3 linked regions of the Drosophila melanogaster genome follow. The protein of the gene in region 1 interacts with the protein of each later gene in a pairwise test. Each region holds a gene or a part of one and is shown in the gene's direction. Other genes may lie near its edges. The genes, in order: CG14568, CG5618 and Pgant9.

Region 1 (3,223 bases):
TCATATTGCGCAGACTAAAAAATATCTTAGCAAGCCATTACACTGGTGACCCAGCCACTATAACTAGAATAAAACAAAGCATTAAAAATGCATTGGAAATGGGAAGCCTTTCACAAAAGACCATACAAATCCGCTAAAAGTATGCGATGGGAACAAGGAACCCTTTAAACGCTTCCGAGGCAATTCACATGTCAAGGATATGCAAAGAATTCCGAACAGGAGTTCGTCCAGAATAGGTCTGATATAAGTTTTTCTTAAAGGCAAATGGCTTGCACTGAATTTTAGAGAACTGAAATCTTTGAGCTGTGTGTAAACAAATTTGCATCCATTTCGACAATTTAATATTAACCATTAAAAGCAATTATTTCTCATGCAATTATTATTTCTCGACAATCGGTAGATGTTGAATAATAATATAAATTATTAATAATTCAAAATAACACAGTCAGATGGACTGACACGTATAGATGAGCACACTGCTGATTATCCTCCCTTCTCCACTTACTTTCACATAATACGTTTTGATTAAATACGAAATACTAAATTATTTACGTAAATGATAACTTATTTGTTTGATATTGGAGTCGGGATATTTAATTTATTAATTAGTTTCGCTTATCATATCACTGGTTTCTATTTAGACTTTTTGGACTGAGTTTACTTAAAATGTAAGGAAAACAAGCAGACGAACCATTTTTAAACATATTAGCAGAAATATATTTTTAACAACAAATTGCAATCCAAACAGAACAAATTAAGAGAAGGCAACTAGCGTTACTACCAGCCTAGTTGCTGGGGAGCAGCGCTGTAGGCTGCCAGGTAATACGGCTGCTGGGCACCCACATAGTAAAACTGGGGCGTGGCCAGTGCTGGAGCCTGAGCTACTGGAACCAGCGAAGCCACTGGAGCCACAGCCGCATCCACGGGCAGCTCCTCCAGGCGAGCTGTGCGTTGGCGGAGCAGCTTTGGCTTAGCCAGCTGCAACTTGCCCAATCTATGGCGGCTGCGCAGGCGGGCCGGAGCAGAGGATGGTGTGGTGGCCTCAAGTGAGCTCTCCTCGGTGTCCACCTCCTCGTTCTCTGGGCTAGGCTCGAAGGTGTCCACTGGTGGATCCTGTTCCGAAGGCAAGGCATCTGTATCCACATCCTCGGGAGGTCCGTAGGTCAGCGCGGGCTGTTCGGCGGCGGGTTTAAGCTCAGCAGCCGAGGGGTAGGGGGTGGGAGCCAGCTCCTGCCGGGCGAACGCCACCGGACGCAGGCGCAGAGTCCGCCGAAGTGGTGCCTGTGCCGCACAATTCACCGCGCTGATGGCCGCCAGCAGGAGGAGGAGCGAACTGAAAAACTGGTAACGTGCCATGATCGTGGGACTAGCAGTTGAGCTGTGTTTGCTGTCGTATATGGAGCTTTAACTTTTATACTTCCAAGTGCCGCAGCGGTGGCCCTGCTCATCGGTGGTCACTGGTCAGCGATTCTAGCCCAGCCAACAACGCCGTGAATTTTAAGCAGAGCGCCGCGATTTGAAATCCATCAATGCGTATGCATTGTATGTCAAGCAGGCGCCGCACAGTGGAGTGGAATTTAAAGTGCTAGCAGATCTATAGCCCTAGTTGCCCATGCCCATGTGGACCATTGGCCACATGCTTAGTATATAAAAAGGGAAGTAGGTTAGAAAGAAATTCATTAGCTCAGTTAAAGTAATGACATATTTATAAAATTATAGAATTACGTTAGAAAACATACAAGTCAACGAATGACATTCGTTACTAGTTCGACTTCTTTGGTTGCAACCCATTCCTCATCCGCAGTGGTTCCACGTAAAGTGTCAAAGTTAAGTGCCCGCGGGTTATAATTAACGGCCAATGGTTATGGCTTAGACATGGGCCCTTGACTAAATATTGTCACGTCCGTAGGCCAACGAAAGGGTGTCCCTCGGTGAGCCAAATATACCCGAGTGGCCGAAAACTTCAGTTGGTATAAAAGGCGCGAAACTGGCAGCCACTGACAACATTCTAAGACAACTCAGCAGCAGCTCAACATGGCCCACAAGTTCATCTGCTCCCTGCTCCTGATCGCAGCCATGGCTGCCGTTTCTGTTGCAGAGCCTACCAGATTCCGGGGACGATTTTCCCGCCTGCAGTTTGCCCGTCAGGAGCAGGCTCCAGGGGATCAGGCAGTTCCGGCCGACCCCGCCGTGGATATTGCACCTACGCCGGCCTCAGCCCCTTATCCGCCAGCAGGAGTGACACCGGAGGTGCCCTTCGACCTGCCCACGGAGACTGAAGCGCAACCTGATCTTACCTACGGACCCCCAGATGAGCCCGACAACACCTACGGCCCTCCCGATAACACTTACGGACCACCTGCTGAGCCGGAAAACACCTATGGACCGCCGGCTGATGGCCCAGTGGACCAGGCCCCTGCTGCCGATCCCGTGCCCGCCGGCTTGATCCAGCCTCGTAACGAACGCCTCCTCAGTCGTCGTCCGACCCCAGAGAAGCTTCGATCCGCTCAGATTATCCGCTCTGGATCAGTTCTGGTGTACACCATCTGAAATGGGTCAACCCTAATTTGCTAGAAATCAAATGGAATCGACTCATTAGGATATGCATTTATTACTTTGTCGCTAAATAAATTGTTGTTGAATATTTTAATTTAAATAATAAAATAATTGCGTTAATATTCAAGCCACCCTTTTGTCATAAATTGAAAATTGCAAAATATGTCTGTCTTGTTGTTAGTGAAGCAAAACATATTTAATTTGTTGTTGGAGCTAACAGATATATGAACGCATTTGCTTTTCTATTAAGATCTTATTTTCTTAATCAGGATCAAATCACAAAAGTGATTCGGGAGTCTCAACTACAAGTTACCCTGTGCTCTATTATCTATTAAAAATCTTGTCCAAGCAGTATCAAACAAGAAATCCTATATTCGGCTTCCCTGCTTATCAGATACCAACTACTCAGCTAGTGGAAATGCGAACGCGAACTTGCATACTTTTCCTGGAATATCGATAGATATTGGTGAATAAAATGCGTTGCATAAACTTTTTTGTCAATCAACAGAAATTTACAAGACTAATAAAAATATGCAAAATGTCAAAACAATTTGCAAACGTGTGGGCGTTGCAGTTTTGTGTGGTTCGTGGGCGTTAGAGTGGGCGTTTCTCTAGAAGCTGTGAGCTGTAAGCTGTAAGCTTAATCTCAACCCTCTAGCTTTTATAG
Region 2 (3,757 bases), 1.4 Mb from region 1:
TGCAAACTGGTACCTCAATTCGATATGTAGGCATTTTGCGCTATAAAGTAGATTTCCAATCCCTACAGGCCGATGAGCCGCTGGAGGATGTCGATCTCGATGACTATTAAGCCTGTTAAGGGTGGGCTGCGAATGGGTCTCGATTATGCGTTACATACATAATAAACCAGTACTTTTTGGGAAACCTCGTAAAGCAAAACGTTCAAATTGATTAGGAACCAATTTACTTGCCACATAGTTTTACCTATGTTCAGCGTAGCCGTTCAATATTTATCACCAATAGGGTCCCTCTCATCAGTCGGATGGTGCATTCCCTTGTCGATCAGATCAGCGTGCATCTAGATATGTACCTATACGTTTTACCAAATTTTTTAATTAGTCGTGCACCAGGCGGAATCGCGTACTTTTAAGCAGCATATTAAATTCGTATTTCGTACTCGTAATTCGTAATTTGTATTTCAATGGTCATGTAAAAGCGATGCGATAGATATTAGCGCATTCTCCGTTCATCTGGTTCGATTTCGACTGCGGTATTAGGAGCAAAAGATCTTCGGTTAACTGCCACATGCCACTTTCGAACGTATCTGCATTTCCCCTATTCAAATTATAGCCGAGTGTTATAAGAAAGTATACAAATCTAATCCATAAAATTGTAATAAAAATTAAACCAGAATAAAAACACCACACAATGAGGATGGGGTATCCGTTTATATTCAGTCGCGAAGTACAACAAATATTTTATTTAGTGTATGAAAAGTTAAATGTGGATACAAAGGAGGTGAGAATCTGAGTTTCGGTTGAACTATCCTGTGTGTTGATCCTTTTGTTTTTTCCTCTTCATTTATTTTTCAATTTTCAATCAGCTTCTGTTCTTCTATTTTTTTTTTTTTTTTGTTTCTTATTTTAATTTAATTCAATTGCTGGGTGTGCCTCTGCAGGTATCTTACGCTACAAGGTGGATTTCCAGAGTATGCAGCTCGATGAATTGGACAATGATGGCTTCGATCTAGATGATTACTAGGAAATGTATCTGTAGAAATGAATTTGCCACTACGTTCGACCGCAAACTGAACTGCAACTACAACTATATGAATCCAGGAAATCAAATAGAATATTTAAATAATATGAGAAAACACAAACCTTCTTCCATTTTTACGTTGTTGGCGAAAAAAGTAAAATTTTAAATAATGCATATAGATACAAACGATAAAATGTTAAATCGAGGAAAACATATTAAAATGCAACCGTTTTACGTGAACAAATTTGCAATTTGAATATATTTTCGAGGGACTAGAGCTCTTGTTATATAATTAATTGTTCCTCTATAAATCTAAATCTAAATCTACATTGACAATACGCCACGTTTCCTAAAGTTTTTGGGTACAAGGAGAATTGTATCTGTGAGTTTTAATCGTTCTATTATAGCTTGAAAACGAAATTTGCACCGAAAGCTGATAAAATTCCGACTCTGCTATCTGCTGGATAAGTAAAATGCTGGTAGCCACTTGGAGTACTACCAGTACAGCAATGAAAGTAAAGTGAAATGGGCATTTCATTTTCTACTTTCTATTTGCAGGCACACTGGAAACAGTTTACTGCGAGATTCCCACTTCATTAGTTGGCAATGCACGTGGACGACAGCAAAAAGCACTCGTAGTACTTGTTTCGCCCTTGATTTGCATCTAAGAATCGCTCAGATACATCTGGTGAGCTGAAACTCGTTTCTGAGCCGCAGTGTCGTGCAGGTATCCGTACTCGTTTGAATATTTGTAAGTAATCATTGCAGCGAGACTTCCAAAAAGTAAGCTCAGCTAAGTTCTGCGGTGTTGGGCATCCAATTAGTTGACCAAGTTTTCTGGTGGCATGCACATGAAACTTGTTTAATCGATAGGGTAAATATGCAAATTTCGATTGAATTTGACGATAATGCGTCGAGATGAAAAGAAAACGAATTGTGCAGGATTTTGGTTACGAGATAAGCCGAATCAGCTAATAAGGCACGTGCTTAATTGATATATATTGTATGTTTAAGTAACCTAAATATGCACGACTTTAATATCACTTTTATTTCGCTTTCGTAATAAAACGAGGTTCACTCTAAAGAGCACAAGCGTGGAGGTGTATGTGTGTTCTTACAGCCCCGATCATTTGTATTTCCATTTGAGTGCGAGCGAAGACGAGGGTTTACAACTTGATGAGAATTTGATCAAGATAACATTAAAACACAATCTGCTGCAGTCGGACGGGGCACTTCTGATTGAATCGTCGACGGAAGAGGTTCGGATCTCGAAAGCCAAAAATAATCAGCCTTTTACTGGCCAATTGAGATACGGAAACTTCTACCGACCGAGTGTAGTATGGCTGAATCAGTGGATGGAGCAGAGACTGTTGACCAGATTCGCGATGGCCTCATGGACGACTGGAAGATCCTGGAGAACGTATTCCACCTTCTCCGGAAGGAGGATACCTTCTGCGTGGATCCCCAGAAATGGGACAAGCAGAAGATAGTCCCCTTTTTGCAGCCAGACAAACTTAAGGTGAGTGGAGCAAGTGATAGACGATTCGGCGTCTGCCGATGTGGAGATAACCAGAGATAACAGAGAACTGATTAATGGAAGAGTTCATTCGAAAATTGACCACCCGACCGCAAATTGTAGCAATTGTACTATGGCTTGCCCGACGAAATGTGAGTCAATTGATAGTAGCACTTCCTGATTGAGCACACTCATGCTAGTATCTGATAGTTTTAATTATAATTGAATTGTTTGTTATTTCATAGATTATGGTCGGTTTTTTCTGGGTAAAGATATTATTAGTTCGAAACAGAAAACGTTTTAGAAATATGTTGAATCTTTAATATACTTTCTTATTGCAAAAGTCGCTGTTCTATAACAATCTTGAGATTACATGATTTCGCACCATCACTTCCAGGAACTGATTAACCTGAAGGTTCGAGAGACGGAAAACTGCTCGCTCGCGGAGATCGAGGAGCTGTGCCAGCAGGTGATCCATTACTCTGTGAAAACCTCGCACGGCCGCTTCCACAATCAGCTCTTTGGCCAGCTGGACCCGTTTGGACTGGCAGGAGCCCTGGTCACCGAGGCCATGAACGGCAGCACGTAAGTCTGCGCCTTATTCCACACATGTGTCTTGTCTATATGAGTGACCGCTGATTGCATCTCGTGTTCCAATCTACAAGTGGTGTCGGGGTTCAACGTACAGATAATTGCGCTATGTAATGGAGATTGCAAAGTACTACATGTATGTTTCATAACCCCCCCCCCCCCCTTTCGATTAATTTAAATGGGGATTAAGCAGAGTTCATACACAATCATTGCAAGTTATTAATCATTTAGATGAGATTTCCTAGATAGGACTACCAAAATCAGACTTTTAACCGAGGTATCCAACAAGACACAATAAACTTTTGTTTCAGATACACCTACGAAGTTGCGCCCGTGTTTAGCTTGATCGAAACTGAGGTGATCGCGACCATCTGCAAGTTAGCGGGATACAAGGAAGGCGATGGCATCTTTGCGCCCGGTGGCTCCACCTCCAACATGTACGGCATGGTTCTGGCCCGCTATAAGATCGCGCCCGAGGTGAAGACGTCTGGAATGTTTGGAATGCGACCGCTGGTGCTCTTTACCTCCGACGAGTCGCACTACAGCTTCGTGAAGGCGGCCAACTGGCTGGGATTGGGCAGCTACAACTGTGTGTCGGTGAGGACCAATGAGCGGGGTCAGATGCTGTTGGA
Region 3 (3,757 bases), on another chromosome or scaffold:
CACAAGTTAAATTCTCTAAACTAACACAAATACCAGCTAAGTACACACACTGACACACATGAAAACTTCCGCTCACTCACACCAATAAACGGAAACAAAACTTGAGTCAACAGTTATGGCAGGCAAATTGACTTGAGAACATTTTTTGCTGCAAAGTATGCAACGATTTTTCGGCACTCCATTTGTGTTTGTGTGTGTATGTGTGTGTTTTTCGGGTGTTTTCCGGGTTGCTTTCCAGTGAATTTGAGGGGCGAGTCCGGGGCTGCCTAACTAAGCCGAGTCAAAATCTAATTGGATTTGTGCTCACTCAATGAACTGCAAACGAAAAGTGTTTTATATGATTATTCGTCTGGGAGCCTCCGGGGACCCGAGAAATGAACATTTTTATTTCCATTTTGCACTTGCCATACTCCATTAAACCAAAGTGCAAGTGTTTGCAAAATATGCAAGAGAGGAGCTACAGTGGAAAAATAATCAGGTTATGAAAGTATGTAAACGGGATTAAAATTGCTTTGAAATAGGTTTTTAAATATAACTGCTAACTAACTAGTTTGTTAAGCGAAATATTATGCTTAAGTTTATTTGATTTTTGAATCTGTTTGTAATAAATATACATTTTTATGTACCCCCCAGTCCCAGTGTATTTATTAATATACACCTTTTTTTCGCTTTTGCTGTTCGCTTATTGAGCGCCCTTGTGAAGGCGACAAAATATTTGCCACGCGACATTTCCAGCAATTAGGCGTAAAAACACGTAGCCAAGAATGGCGAGCGGGAATACCAGGGCATACTGCGGAATCGTTGGGTTTATCATAGCGAAAATCAACGCCAGCTGAAGGCGGTAGTAAAAAAAAAAAAACAAAAAGGGAGCAGTGCAGTCTGTAATGAGACGGAAAGCGAGCGCCAATCGCTGCAATTAAAATTAATTACAGTATTTGTCAGCTTAGCCCGGCTAACTAAGTAACTGGCCACCAGTAAACCTGCAATCTGGCCAGGATCCATTCAAAACACGGTGTGGCGGAAGGGGAAATCGGGGTGTGGGAGAGCTGCTTTGATTGCAATCGCGATCGTTAATTAAATGTCGAAAGGAATGTTGTTGTTGCAGCTTGTGTTTGTGTTGCAGATGTTGCAGCGGCAGTTAATGCCGGTGCCTCCTGTGCGTAAAGATCAGCCAAAATGGATAAGGGCCAAGTTGCTGTTGCCGCTGGCTATTTATATCTGCAGCTCGCTGTTGCACGCAATGTAATGTACATATAACCAATGTTGCTGCCGCAGCAGTTGTTGTTGCATCTGCTGCTGCTGTTGTTGCTGCTGCTGCTGCCGTTGCTGCTGCGGGCATTATCGCCCTTGATCTTGGCTAAATCGAAATCGCCGGCGTTGCGTGAAGTGTTGCAAATGAGTTTTTGTCTGGGGCGTGCATTGCATTTTCAATTGGTCGGCAAATTGGCAGCGCCAACGAAAACAGCCATCAAATCAAAATCACAGGTGGCACAGCTGTATTGAAATTGGCATTTTCCAGCAATTTGGGCACCGAGCATCATTTTAAAAATGGGGACGGTTTCATCAATTGAAATAGCAGACCTAATTAACCTAAATAAGCGAAAAAAGTGAAAATTCTATAATAACAAACAATGCAAATATATAAATGAAATTTCATGAAATACTTCAACCTTAAATGGAATTTTTCGAACTTCCGTAAGCCTTGAAAATGTTGTTATATTGATACTATTTATTAGCTTTATGGTGAAAGTATTTAATATCAAGCTGTACATGATCACACTAGCTCATCCATTTGTTCGTCAATATTTGCAATGCGATGCATTGTATATGGCCAAATGCAGTTGTGCAAACAGAAACTTGAGCGCTATCAATATATGACAACAAGCAGTGAAAAACACGAGACTCGTTTTGAGGCCAAGAAAACTTTTTCGCTGTATAAGAAAAACTAATGAAAAATGCGGCGCAGAGGAAAAAGTTGATTGGTGTCGTCCTCCCATTCTCCCAAACGTTCCCACAAATATCCACCACCAATGCTGCCCCAAAACTTGGCCATGTTTCAATTGAAAGAGCCAAACAAAACCAATGAAAAGTCCATAACGAACGGCGGGCGGAAAATGCGGAAAATAGGGAGGGGAGGTGCCAAAGCGAAGCAATTGAAAAACAGCTTCCGTCGGTGTTGCAAATTGTCAATTTCGTGGTCCGTTCTTTACACATCACAATTGCTATGTAAAATGCAGTGAATGTTGGTAGCCAATCGCAAATAGATTCTGTCGCCAACTTCTAAAAAATTTCAATTAAATAAAGTTAATTAATATTAGTCATTATTAAATTTCCACAAAAATATGGTTACTTTCCTGCGGCTAAACCGCCCTCATCATTCCATCCCCACCCCCAGCAAAAGCAAAAACAAGGCAAACAACTTCAATATGCAAATGAGCCACGTGCAAGCCGATTTGAAGATGGCCAACGACAAGTGCAGTGGCCAACACGTTAGACTTGCAGTTCGAGTTGCAGTTGCCAGCCGGCTTAAGAGTCGCGAACGAGCTTGTTCGATGTTGCAACAGTGATGACCAGCGGAGCCCATTAAAAGCTAAAGAAAGTTAGTGCAACTAAAGGCTAGTATATCATATAATATGTATATGTATATATGTATGTATGTATATATAAAAATAATAATATATATACCATATAATAATAATATTAACCAATTTAACTAGAAGCCCACATTAAACACATCCGAGACATTCTGAATATATGCATTTATAAATTTATAAAGGTTAGTAGTAGTATTAGTTAGTTTTTAGTTTAGTTAACCTCGCTTCGTATTTTTGTTTTCTTTTTTTGGTTTGTTTGAATTTAAACAGATTTCTCAGCCATTCCATGGATGAAAAGCGAGGACCTTCTGGGAAACTCTTATCCCGTCTTTTGCGACATGACAGTCTCCGTCAGTCTCCTCCCCCGCGCCTAATAACCCATGAGGGTGGACCGCTCTTGCAATCCCATTTCAAATTCCATATCCATTCCATTTGGCGTATACGGGCTCATTTGTCATTCACAGGCTGAGAACAACAATGTCTGGGGCAACAACAAAGAGTCTTGCTGTGTGTCTCTGTGTGTGTGTCTGTGCTGGGCTTATCAGCGAGTGTTTATCAGAAGGAGCGAAGTGACCCACACAACAACCCCCCCACCCACTTGCAACTCGAACATCGAACCTGGGGCTGCGAACATGTTGCGAGCCACTGTTGCCGGCTAAAACTCCAATGGGAAATACTCAGTCGATTTTTGACCGTCAAATCAGCAGGTTGCGGTCGGTCCGTAAGTGCGAGTGGGAGAGCGCGCGTGCTAAGGTGAATTGTGAATCCGTTGCATTTCTCTTCCTCTTCCACTCCTCACACCTACGCAGAGGTGTGTGCGTGTGCGTGTCTGTCTGGCTGTGTGTGTGAAATAATGAAATAACGAAATAACAACAACAGCAACACAAATCACAGTCAGCTGTGAAGTTTCTTTGAATGTGTGAAATCATATATGCAAATGGCAAAAATAAGCAGAAATTACAAATTAATAGTGTGAAAAATTCATACACAAATTAAAGCATGCTAATCGAAATAGCTCAAAAAGCAACTGAGTAAAAATCAAAGCATACAAAAAAAAAACAGCCGCAGGGTATAATTTTTTGTGAAACTTGCCAACTGAATTGAAATTGGAACTTGGGAATTTTTGACAGCAGAATCAAGGAGCAAAGCGGAGAGCGAAAGGC

Evidence for each region.
Region 2: the proteins of CG14568 (region 1) and CG5618 interact in a two-hybrid assay, tested with the Drosophila melanogaster proteins (one large-scale study listed by BioGRID).
Region 3: the proteins of CG14568 (region 1) and Pgant9 interact in a two-hybrid assay, tested with the Drosophila melanogaster proteins (one large-scale study listed by BioGRID).

The regions. Positions count from the first base shown.
Region 1 is NT_037436.4:21,732,264-21,735,486, reverse strand, and holds CG14568 (uncharacterized protein), read left to right. Parts: upstream 1-1,999; 5' UTR 2,000-2,034; coding exon 2,035-2,550; 3' UTR 2,551-2,681; downstream 2,682-3,223. Other genes in the region: CG14573 (uncharacterized protein), read right to left, coding at 778-1,356.
Region 2 is NT_037436.4:20,351,869-20,355,625, forward strand, and holds the start of CG5618 (uncharacterized protein), read left to right. Parts: upstream 1-2,051; 5' UTR 2,052-2,357; coding exon 2,358-2,537; intron 2,538-2,931; coding exon 2,932-3,119; exon of another isoform or gene 3,120-3,261; intron 3,262-3,436; coding exon 3,437-3,757. Other genes in the region: eRF1 (eukaryotic translation release factor 1), read left to right, coding at 1,577-1,686.
Region 3 is NT_033778.4:16,730,901-16,734,657, reverse strand, and holds the start of Pgant9 (polypeptide N-Acetylgalactosaminyltransferase 9), read left to right. Parts: upstream 1-1,741; 5' UTR 1,742-3,757. UniProt on the Drosophila melanogaster protein: Catalyzes the initial reaction in O-linked oligosaccharide biosynthesis, the transfer of an N-acetyl-D-galactosamine residue to a serine or threonine residue on the protein receptor.